Bombyx mori: one gene and its partner. The protein of the gene in region 2 interacts with the protein of the main gene of each other region in a biochemical or structural test. Links are inferred from orthologs where the notes say so. Each region holds a gene or a part of one and is shown on either strand. Other genes may lie near its edges.

Region 1 (6,775 bases), on a different chromosome or scaffold from region 2:
GGGTAGTGGTACCTATCCGTGCGGACTCACCTACCACTAGTATAAAAGTTTGCTCAACACTTACGGTTCTCATTGATAGTGCTCGTGAGACCGCTGAGCATTTTGAGCACGATGTAGGGGGCCGCGGCGATCACTCCGAAGAACAGGAGGATGGGCCAGCTCGAACCGGGCGGTCGCTCAGCGGCGGCTTGGTCTCCGCCCCGCGTGGCTGCCACCGCCTCCGCCCACGCCTACAAAGAACACAAACCACACATTACTCGGTGGGTCGCATTTGCGATCCGGTGGTAGATTCTGCGAAGCACTGCACTTGCTAGGGCCAGTGTTAGCAACACTCCAGTTTGAGCCCCGTGAGCTCACCTACACGTTAGGGCGAAGCTGAAATAGCCTCTCAAGGCTATCAGCGTAGGTACGAAAAAAGAGAACACATTATTACAGAAAATTCAAGATAAGACTTCTTTTCACGTGTTTGGATAAACAGATGACATTTTTAAGTTGTGACGTATGTAGTTGCGTGCGTAACACATAGTTTACTTCCATTATAAACATTATGCTTGAAAATTTATATATAAAATTATGTAACAATATTCTTTTATCCCTGTATGGCAATAATTGAATTATGGCAGAGAAGTTTCACTTTTTACTTCTTCTTAAATACAAGTCGTTTCCGAATTGAGCTATGCTCTGCCTCTGGCATTCCTAACGTCCATGAGAGACGGTAACCACTCACTATCAGTTCGTCTGCCAACAAGGGCTATAGAATAAAAAGAGTATTTTTCGAAAGTAGCGTTGTCAAAAAAAAATACTGTTCGCCTGCTTTTATGACTATATTATATTATTATCATAATTTTTTTTCTACATATTGTCACGCTGTCGTAAACTTAGAGATAATTAATTTATTTCGTCGAGTTATCTGTTAGAAACGAATAAAATGTAGTTTCCGATAAATAATCTCGATAATGTTTCATCATGTGGACCCAAGGATTCCTTCTCTCTCTTAATTGATAAGAATATTATCGCAATGTTTTTCTATTAGCGTTACCGGATAAGATTAAAAACATTGTATATTGTAATTCAATAATATATGTTTTTTTTTTTTAATAATCTATCCATAATGCCGGCCGCGGGTTGCGGTAACAATTTGTATTATAAGTTTTCAATTAATAACGTAGTTTATTTTTTACAGACTTCAAAAATGATTAGATTCTCAAATCGACTGTGTTTTTTTATTATCTCAGAACCTTTTTTCAGGTGAACATCTAATTATTCTTTGCTAAAACTGATTCACGTGGGAATGTGATCCCATTTAAATTTTATGAAGATATGAACAATGGTTCTTGAGTTATCCTTAATAATGCATATTTAATTAATTCCACTATACACATATATTGATATTGTTAGGTATATTACTTTGTAAAAGATGGTGTTCTCTTTTAATTTTTTTTTATTAGCTTTGCCTGCTAGTTTTTGATATCCATACTTCTATACAAATCTTATAAATATGAGTATAAATGTATGTTAATCATGCAAAAATACCTGAACGAATTTGGATGGAATACGGCTCAAAGATATTTTAGCATCTGAATACTGAATCTGAAACTATTACTATATATCATTGTACAACAAGTTTACAAAGACCCAGACTATGGGGGATGTATCTGCTATAACAAAGATAAGTCTGTTCACAGGCTCTTGATTTTATGTACTAATACATAATATGAGACTGGTAGTCTTTATTGGGCTGTATACTTGTCTGCCTACAAGAGCAATAAAAAAAAAAGCTCAGTCCTAACATGCAGAATTTTGAGTGTAGAATAACAATTTACTAAACTCAAAAAGAATAAATTCAGTGAAATAATATGTTTAAAACACTAACCTATCAATTAAATCTTTGATATTTTCTGGTTATATTGTTATAAATTAAAATTCAAGGTACTCAGAGGTTGTAGATTTTTTAAATGTACAAAGTTTTTCAAAGTACAGGATATTTTCGAAAGTATATACTTTTTGCAGACTTAGCTATGTAGTTCCATCACGTGGACATTGAGAATATAAGATGTAAATTTTTGTATTTTTTTTATAATACAGATATGACAAACATTGAGATGGGCTTTTAATTTTAAATTAATTACCTTACCTTAAATTCAGTTTCAGATCTAATGCCAAGCATTACAAGGAGTTTCTTGAAAATCCAATTCAGTGTTCGTATTACTGCAAATGTTGACCAGAACTGGGCAAATACTGTTCTCAACCTACCAAAGTTTTCAGCGACACCTGTCAAAAATGATTGTTTTCGATTGATAACTCAAAGGATACACACAAGGGAGGCACAATGACCCCAACCAAATATCAATAAGGAAACAAATCAATTATGTAGTTATGAAAGAAAATCCATATCAACACTAACTTACTTTTAAAACAGATTATATTATATAGTCCACTACCAAATAATCATATATACAACAAGAAAAACCACATTATTATTCAAAACACTGTGATTTAGGTAAACTTTAAGATTATACTTTCAAAAATTAGTTGTAACAGTGTATGGATATGATATTTTTTTGTGACACCAGTTGTTGCATTATAAATACACCTGAATTCGATTTACAAGCAATTGTGTTGCTGTACTTACCTAATATAGCACGAAATGAGCTAGTCAAAGCAAAGAAGGTGTTCTCCAGCATCATAGCTATACTGCCTACAGCACTGACTAAGCTCTGTATTGAGTCAAAAGCTGGCCTTGAATTCTCCTCTGCCAATTGAATAAATCTGTAAATACATACAGGAGCTTCATATCATTTTTGGAAATCAAGCAACACACATTCCCTCTTTAGTCAAGTGATGCTGACTATTGTACAATTGATTCAGTTTTGATTGTTACTCAGACAGTATTTAATTTGATTTTGTTTGCCATTGTTTTGGAATTTAGCTGTATTTATTCTAATCTTTTGTGTACGTTTCCAGTATCCATGGTAAAATATATCTGTTGAATATGAATCAATAAATCAAATCAAAATGTTTAATAAGTTTAAAAAATTGTATGTAATTGTATGTAGGTTGAGGTGAAGAGGCAAAACAAAGAAAAAAATAGATTGTCAAATCATTTCCTCTATGAATGGAATCTATTCTTGTAGTATGTAGACATAATTTACTTCCATTTAAACATTTTATGCTTTGTATTTGACATTTTCTTATTTATATTTCTTGGTGCAGCAATAAATTTTACTTTATAGAGAATTTCCTTTGTTGTGCTCTAATAATAAAAGTATTTTAATATCTAACCTGCTCTCAATGTCTCCATAGCCCAGTGGAGATCCGTAACGGTTGTACGCACCATAAGGGGCCATACCATTCAGGCCCATGGCACCCATTCCTCCCATTCCATAACCGCCGCCGTATCCTCCATATCCGAAACCACCATAATTTCCCATCCCATACTGCATACCCCCGTACGGCTGCGTCATTCCTTGAGAAACAGTTGGATACCCCATCTCGGGTCGCGGAGGCAGAGGGGGTAAACTGTGCCCGTACGCTTCGGTCGAAGTCGATGCTATAGGATTCCGGAAATTGGAAACATTGGAAGCCTCCCCGATGTTACCTAGTGCGCCTGCGTTAACCAAGCCGAAGTCCATTTTATTTTGAATATGGCTTGGTTCGCTCATTCTCGGTTTTTAGACACGAAATTCAAAGATTACTGCGCGGTAAGCTTCTTGTTTAAATTCTTATTTGCTGATAAACTACATGTGACAATAGTGTTATCTCGTTAGATATTTATCACAAAACAGATTGTACATAGGTACGTATTTATTTTGGATATAATTTCTTCTATTTTGCATAAAGTTGTGTTGAAATTAGATTTAATGTGACAGTTGACATTTTTGACGGGAACCAATTTACGATGAATGATTTTAAAATTTTCAATTGTTTTCGCCAAAAAAAGAAAATGTATTAAGGAAATGATCATGTTCATTTTTTGCCAAAATTTAACGTTTTCAAACCCTTCAATCTTAAGAACAGACAGAAATAGCTTCTTAGTGTAGGAGCTGCTAAATTCCCCATTGACTAAAACTAAAGTAAAAGTAAATAAAAAAAATATTTATATATTTAGCAATAAATTTTAACCTTAGTATTACGAGTTTTTGATCGGGGCTACCATCTACAAGTTGATCTCAGATATAATTCTCAGACCGTGAGCTCTATGCCCTTTATTTCAAAAATAGTTCAAGGTATAAAAAAACTTTAAATAGAAAAGTTGTTGATATTTAATTCTCTACAATAATGATAATAAATATAAATAGGGTAAAATCCATAGAAAACGAAATTTATGTAAAAAATAATATCAATTTCTGTGACCTTTGACCCTTGGCTGTAAAAGTTGCGACCATCCAATTATGTGAATTTTGAAATTAGTTTTAGAATGCCGTTGATGATGTAGTCGTCGTAGCCTAAAGGATAAGACCTCCGGTGCATCCGCGTTGAGCGATGCACCGGTGTTCGAATCTCAGGCGGGTACCAATTTTTCTAATGAAATACGTACTTAGCAAATGTTCACGATTGACTTCCACGGTGAAGGAATAACATCGTGTATAAAAATCAAACCCGCAAAATTATAATTTGCGTAATTACTGGTGGTAGTACCTCTTGTGAGTCCGCGGAGTTGGGTACCACCACCCTGCCTATTTCTGCCGTGAAGCAGTAATGCGTTTCGGTTTGAAGGGTGGGGCAGCCGTTCTAACTATACTTGAGTCCTCAGAACTTATATCTCGAGGTGGGTGGCGCATTTACGTTGTAGATGTCTATAGACTCCAGTAACCACTTAACACCAGGTGGGCTGTGAGCTCGTCCACCCATCTAAGCAATAAAGAAAAAGAAGCCGAAATACAAATTTTTACGTGTTAATATACTGGGTATGTCGATTTTCCGAGGTATTCACCCAATTCGGCCTAAAATGACTGGACTATTAGGCTTTTGTTACAAACAATATCGTATTGACTACATTTCGTTTGCTTGATCAATTGAAAGATAATTGAAAGAAAATAATTGTGTATACCTTACATAAATTCAAATAGTTCTTTTTTGTTAATTTTGTGTTTCTTCGGAGTTAAATGTATAATAACGGTGGTTTAATAACTATTAAATATCGTGAAAGTCGTAATATCGTGAACGGAAAGGAGAAGAAAATGAAACAAAGTCGCTAGACGTAGCTTCTCAAGGTTTTTGAAAAAGTCCACTGAAAAATTTTCAGAAAATATCCACTATTTAACCCAGTTTATATTTCATCCCTATTTGTGTCTTCATCTTTTTCAATTAATCACCTTCAATTCATTTCGCGTCATATCATTTTTAATAAAATTGAATATACAAAAGGTTAGGCTGTATGGTTTGATGTCTTTGTCATTCTAGTTGAAAAAATGAAACTACTACTACTATAATAAAAATGCTCTATGCCTAATGATAAGTGTCAATAATTTGTGTGAAAAACTCTTGTTTTCAAAATTATTGTAAACATTCAGTATTAAAATAAGTTATTAAACGAAGAAATAATTGTTATATTAATCGGTAAGTGTGTCTGTGCTGTATTAAGTTATTTTCTAGACGTTAAAATACGATTTGTGTTCGGCAGATTACCAACTTTTCTCGTATCGATGTTTCAGCTAGTGGTGTTGTTTACAAACCTCATAGAATGTTTTCTCTAAGTAGATCTCTCGGAATGTTCTTACAAATATTACTTTTGCATACAAACATAGTGTTTTTACTGATATAATTGAAGTATTGTATTCGACGGGATAACTGAAAGATAATGCAATGAAGCCAATCGGCGTCAATACTTCGTTCACCACTAAATAAATTAAAATAGGCTAAATGGTGTCGATTGGTTTTAGTGAGTCCCTATATAATGTTATAGTAATATGTACTCATAATCTTCAAGTTCATTGAATGAATTGAATGATGAAATTGTATTTTGTTTTAATTAAACAAAAAGAACTTTGACGTTGATTAAAATTATCAATATTTTTCGGAAGATTGTCAGATTAACTCCTTTCAACATTCAAACTACAATTAATTTGAAAAAATAAATAATAGATTGAGAAACAGTTCAGTGCTTAATGTTATAGATTAAATTCTGTGATACAGAAGAACTAAATCTTATATTGTCAGTGAAGCAATTAGATCTTGTAATATTCATAGCAACAGTAAGATTGTGTAATAAAATAAATTAAAGCAATCTTGGAAATCTTAGTTAATATAATGAATAAAATAATGAAATTTTAATTTTAACAATCCAAATTATTATTTTCTACACCAATGCCTGTCTAATAAGAAGAAAATTCTCACTACATAGCCCATTTAAGAATAAAAAGAAAAAAAGTATAAAATAGATTTCTGCAAAAATGGACCTTATTAAACAAAAAATACACTATTTTATTTAGTATTAAAATATGAAGAATGTGTGAGTTCTCTTTCAGTGTTGCTATCACATTAAAGCAAAAGTATTGGCTTAACAGTCTTAACATACTTTTGTAGTAAAGAATCTAAGACATTGTTTCAGATGACTAATGTTTAATTCGCCGTTGTAACTCAAATATATAAAGCAAATAATATTATATTTTGTATAATTTGAACCTGAAATCTTCAAACATAATACTCGGTAAAGTGATGAATGAAGGATACCAAAAAAGTTATATAATTTATTGTTGATGCATTGTAATACAATTATTAATATAAATCCAAAACAATGTACTATTCAAACAGTCTTCCAATATATGTTAGCTTC
Region 2 (6,097 bases):
TTGAGTAACAAGTCATTTCATTTCTTTTTTTTTATTGTTAGCAATTGAAGTATGTAGAAACAAAATCATAATCTTCCTGTACTGGAACTAAGTGATAAAACCTGTATCTCTACTTCCTGTATCTTTACTTCATATACTTACACAAAAAGATACAACATTACTATAGTCGGATTTTTTATTAGACGAAGTCAACTGACGTTTACTGTGTTGTCAGTTTTTGATGAAATAAAAATAGTGTTGTGACAAAGTGAACGATTGAAAAAACTCCTGAATTAATGAAATTGCCTCGATTGTCTAGTGAATAGTTGGTGTGCCGAATTGCTGATATCGGGTACGGGGTTCGAATTTTAGGCGTGCTTTGTACATACCAACGAGTTTTCGACGAAATATTATGTTCCTATAGTATCTACCTGTACTGAATACCGAGTGTTTTAAACATTAAGAAAAACATTGCGAGGAAGCTTGTAAGACTGTCCTATTTCCAATACATCATATAGTTGAAATTATAGACGTATAAAATATAACAATTATAGGTAGGTAATGAAAATAAAAAAAACTGATTGTAGTTACATACTACTAGTAACATATATTGGAGCACTTTAATACAATTTTATTGTAAAATATAAATAATATTCTTTTATAGTTTGAAATTGATGATTAACTCTTCACACTCATTGTTCATTCATGTGATTGAACGAGAACTGAAGGCATCACTATTACTTTAAATATAGCAACATTATTTCACAAAGTGACATTAGCTACTGTCAGCTGGCTTCGTCTAATTAAAAATACGACTATAGACAAAAATTAAACCAATATTCATGAATTAACAAAAGTATTGAAATGAATGTATTAATGTACCCCCTGTGTGTAATGAGTGTGAGCATGAGTGAGCGTAAGAGGGTGTGTGTGGGTGTAATAAAAAATATTAAAAGTTATTTAATAAAATTTCAGCATCCTTATAGTTACAATTTTACAACCAATTAAAGTTAGAAGTTTTGCATTTGTTGCTTGCTGCTTAGAGGATATATAATATTAGGGTGGTTATTAATTTTATCGTAGAGTGGGACTTCTGTATCTAATTTAAACGTAAAAATAAGTACCCACACTAATTAATACACTACAAAAGGAATATCTGAGATCATACTTTTAGGGTATATAATAATATTATAAATTTTTGTTATTATAAATTATTATTATCAATTATTATTATAAATTATTATTATATTTATACTTTCAGAAGCAGCATCACAGGTGTTAAAGCAAGGTGAATCGAGTGAAACAGAACCAAAGACAGATGACACGGCAGTACCGAAGGCAGATCAGGTAGGTACAGAAGGCTTGATTGTAGGCGTGTGAGATATAACTGGCAGACTTCTGTTTTTTTTATTGCTTAGATTAGTGGACGAGCTTACAGCTCACCTTGTGTTAAGTGGTTGCTGGAGCCCATAGATATCTACAACGTAAATGCGCCATCCACCTTGAGATATAAGTTCTAAGATCTCAGTATAGTTAGAACAGCTGCCCCACCCTTCGAACTGAAACGCATTACTGCTTCACGGCAGAAATAGACGGGGTGGTGGTACCTACCCGTGTGGACTCACAAAACGTCCTACCACCAGTAAACCAATTGTGTGAGGGTGGTCGTGGTCATCATTCACCATCATTGCTGTGGGCAGATGTTTTGTGCCTCAAGAGCAATCGCCATTTCTCCCGGCTTATGGTGAGCCTGGTACACTCATGTAAACAACCGCCAACTCAACAGTTGACTTGACTTGATTGGTCCATCGCAGACAGTATGTGTAATAACAATAAAATATATCTCTTATGATAATTGAATAACATACTAAATAGTATGTGTATGAGAAGAGTTTTGTGTCTACAGCAGTGTAGAACAACTTAGAGAATACTGTAATTTTTGTCGTATTGTGGAAATATTATTATTATTATAATAATATTATATTATCATTCATAATCATCATAGTATCTCTTCTTTTTAGGTCTCGGCAGCCATTTCGCAGACATTACAGAATTTGAACTCCAACTCTGAGAATCTTCAGACGCCTTTCTCAGAACAAGATCTAGCGAACATGTTTAATAATTTCAATTTAGGTGAAGGGGGCCAGGTAATTATTTATTAAAATGTTTATGTATGTTCCATGGCGTACCGTAGATTTTCCCGTTTAGTTGTAAAAGCAAACAAATATCAAAGAATATAGAAATTATAAATTACAATTGTCAGAATGGGTGATGTTCTCAATTTTGTAAATATAATCATTATTTCCGATCTGTGTCTATGTGTGTTTCTGTCCTTTTTTGTAGACTTAATTTTTTTATTAATTATTCAAAGAAATTATATCTGCATAAATAAAAAATACATTATAGATAATCATAAGTCGGTAATAATAATAAATTGGTAGACAGCGGCTTGGCTCTACCCCTCACATTGCTGAAGTTCATGGGCGACGGTAACCACTCGATGCTCGTCTGCATACAAGGCCAATAAAAAAAAATTATTAGAAAAGTCAATAGAGAATAGACAACACACTCAATGCATGGGTTATAAGTGATGCTAAGATAATAATAATATAATATAAATATAAATATTTACTAACAATCACGCCACATTACCTGGTCCCGTACTAAGTTCGTGAAGAACTTGTATTACAGGTACCAGATAACGGAAATAAATGTAAGATTTTTATTATACACATACATATATTTAATAAACATCCATAACCCTGGAAAAGACATTTCTATATTTATCATACAAATATCTTCCCTTTTTTTTTTTTTTTTTTTTATTGCCCTTGTAGGCAGACGAGCATACGGCCCACCTGATGGTGAGTGGTTACCGTCGCCCATGGACTTCAGCAATGCCAGGGGCAGAGCCAAGCCGCTGCCTACCGCTTAATACTCTCCACAAGCCTCGTTTGAAGAAGGACATGTCATAGCGCTCGGGAAACACCGTGGAGGGGAGCTCATTCCATAGCCGGATGGTACGTGGCAAAAAAGACCTCTGGAAACGCACTGTGGATGACCGCAGTGGCTCCAGGTAGTATGGATGAACTCTACTCCGGTGGCGGGCGGTGCGATGGTAAAAACGAGATGCCGGTATCATCTCGAACAATTCCTCAGAGCACTCCCCATGGAACATACGGTACAAAATACAGAGGGAACCGAAGTCCCTCCGCAGACCCAGAGGTTCCAAACGATCCGTGAGACCGGGATTATCGACAATCCGAACGGCCCTTCTCTGTATGGAGTCAAATGGAAGAAGCTGGTATTTGGGAGCCCCGGCCCAGAGATGGGAGCAGTACTCCACGCGAGGCCGGACTTGTGCTTTATAAAGCAAAAGCCTTTGTCCAGGCGTGAAGTACCGCTTCGCTCTGTTGAGGACTCCCAGCATTTTGGACGCCAACTTGGCTTTGCCTTCCAAATGACTCCGAAACTGGACATCGCTCGAAATGTCGACCCCAAGTATCCCAATACTCTCGGAAGGTTGCAGGGATACTCCTTGGAATTGCGGCGCCATGACAAAGGGGTCCTTCTTCGCAGTGAACGCGCAAACTTGTGTCTTTAACGGGTTGAATTGAACCAAGTTCAATTCACCCCATTTGGAGACTCGCCCCAGAGAGTTCTCCACTTCAGACACAAGTTTTGATCGTCTCTCTTGCACCACGCTCCGAGAGAGACTCTGATGGCCGATATATCGCGCATCCCCCGTGCTGTCATCCGCATAGCAATGCATGCCATCAATAGACAGCATGTCATTGATATACAGGATGAAAAGCGTGGGGGAGAGCACCGAACCTTGTGGAACGCCAGCGTTAATGGTCATGGTATCAGAACAGTCACCGTCTACAACGACCGTGATGCTCCGCCCATCCAAAAAGCTAGCGATCCACTTGCAGAGACCCTCGGGGATTCCGTAAGATGGTAGCTTCGACAGAAGTGCCCTATGCCAGACCCTGTCGAATTCCTTCGCGATATCAAGGCTCACAGCAAGAGCCTCGCCCTTGCTCTCCAAGGCTTCAGCCCACCTGTGAGTAAGGTATACAAGAAGATCGCCAGCTGAGCGACCGTGACGGAAACCGTACTGTCGGTCACTGATCAGCTGGCGATCCTCCAGATACTTCAGGAGTTGTATATTAATTATTCGCTCCATCACCTTGGAAAGCAAGGAAGTTATCGCGATAGGCCTATAGCTCGATGGGTCCGACCGGTCACCCTTCTTGGGGATAGGGTGGACGTGGGCAGTCTTCCATGAAGACGGAACCCTGTTAGCGCAATAAGAGATGCGATACAAACGCGTTAGCGCAGGCGTCAGCTCAGGGGCGCACGTTTTCAGAACCACTGCAGGGATGCCGTCTGGCCCGCTCGACTTATGGACGTCCAGGAGTCGGAGTTCCCGCCTGACTGCACACTGTGTAAAGCAGATCTCCGGCAGGGAACTATCACACCGGAGGATGTTCCTCCCTTGGCGGGATTTGAACCCGCGACCCCCTAGTGTAGTGACCATGTCACTTACCACTACACCAGACGGCCGTTCAAGATGTAACGTATTGGTATTTTTCAGGAAGGAAACATGTTCCTGCCCTTCATGCAGGGGATGATGCAGTCGCTCTTGTCGAAAGAAGTTTTATACCCATCTTTGAAGGAGCTAGTCGACAAATATCCAAGTTGGTTGAACGAGAACAAGACAAAGATTGAACAAAGCGAATACGAAAGGTGAATATTTTATGTTTTTGCTGTATCAAAGCGAGCTTAGCTTTGAGGAGGCACCTGGTAATGAGTGCTTTAAATCAAGCCACCAACCTGAAACTGCAGATCAGGACGGTACAAAGCTGCAGAGGACTTCATTGTAGGAGTGAGATATATAACTAGCAGACTTCTTTGTTGTATCACTCTTGTCAGAGCGGTCATGGTCGTTATTCGGATCCTTACTGTCCGCCTTGAGACTTGAGGTCGAATTGTCAATTGTATTGTACAGGCGGTTTTCCTTCAAATCAAAACCCACAGTCATCATGATATTGCAACAGAAATAAATAGCACTACTGGTCTTCACAAACCCACAATAGTACCAGAAAATGTCGGTGCTTGATTCCAGTGCGTTGGTATAATACTTGGAGAATGCTGCTGCTTATTCTGCAGTAAATTCCTTAGTCACCTTGGTCGACATCCATGGAAAGAAATGAAGTACACCTTAGGCTCATCATACTAGGCACTGGAAAGAATTACAAATCTGACGACTAAAAAAACAACTGTTTCCCAGATTCGAAAAACAGCAAACGTTAATGCAGCAAGTATGTGCTGAACTCGAGAACGAATTGGATAGTGACAGTGAAGAAGTTAAGAGAAAACGCTTCGAGAAAGTGTTGGAGTTGATGCAGAAGGTATGTTTGATTATTAATGTCTAAACCAGGGGTGGGCAAAAGCCGGCCCGCGGGCCGGATCCGGCCCTTTTGCTAATTTTATCCGGCCCGTTGAAAAATTCCGCACATAAATTTTTTTAAACTCTTTTATGAGATTTTGTTGACATCAGCATTAAAAAAGCATATGCGGTAAAAAAGCATATGCGGTATAGTCCTCCGGCCCGGGAGACATTTTGAAAATTTCATTTTGGCCCGCGCTTTAAAGTATTTGCCCACCCCTGGTCTAAACGATGGTCTGTTAGGATAGAAACTTCTGAACCTATGAAGCGTATCTGCGTATGATTGGCTCCAGTGAGGATTTCCTGTGGTAGGAATGAATGAGAACTAAAGAACACTAAATATCCTCATCAATGATACACTTATAATAGTGGTAAGACGTCTTGTGAGTCCGCACGGGTAGGTACCACCTATTTCTGCCGTGAAACAGTAATGTGTTTCGGTTTGAAGGGCGAGGCAGTCGTACTGTTAAAAGTGAGCCTTTACAACTCATGTCTCAAGTTAGGTGGCGGAGTTTACGTTGTAGATGTTTATGGGCTCCGGTAACCGCTTAACATCAGGGGGGCCGTGAGCTCGATCAACCATATTCTACAGTAGATCTAGTAGATCTTGAGGCACTCTTCTTATAGTCATTTGGATGACCATTAAATGCTTAGCAAGGTTAT

The links. The genes of interacting proteins can lie anywhere in the genome.
Region 1: the proteins of peroxisomal biogenesis factor 19 (region 2) and peroxisomal membrane protein PEX13 form a complex in vitro, tested with the Homo sapiens proteins (2 studies listed by BioGRID and IntAct, with this or other methods). The link is inferred for Bombyx mori from reciprocal best matches to the Homo sapiens genes PEX19 and PEX13.

Annotation. Positions count from the first base shown.
Region 1 is NC_085126.1:5,628,036-5,634,810, reverse strand, and holds the start of peroxisomal membrane protein PEX13, read right to left. Parts: upstream 3,877-6,775; 5' UTR 3,663-3,876; coding exon 3,283-3,662; intron 2,770-3,282; coding exon 2,633-2,769; intron 2,272-2,632; coding exon 2,135-2,271; intron 231-2,134; coding exon 65-230; intron 1-64. UniProt on the Homo sapiens protein: Component of the PEX13-PEX14 docking complex, a translocon channel that specifically mediates the import of peroxisomal cargo proteins bound to PEX5 receptor.
Region 2 is NC_085129.1:20,656,071-20,662,167, forward strand, and holds part of peroxisomal biogenesis factor 19, read left to right. Parts: intron 1-1,240; coding exon 1,241-1,326; intron 1,327-2,000; coding exon 2,001-2,126; intron 2,127-4,579; coding exon 4,580-4,731; intron 4,732-5,275; coding exon 5,276-5,396; intron 5,397-6,097. UniProt on the Homo sapiens protein: Necessary for early peroxisomal biogenesis. Acts both as a cytosolic chaperone and as an import receptor for peroxisomal membrane proteins (PMPs).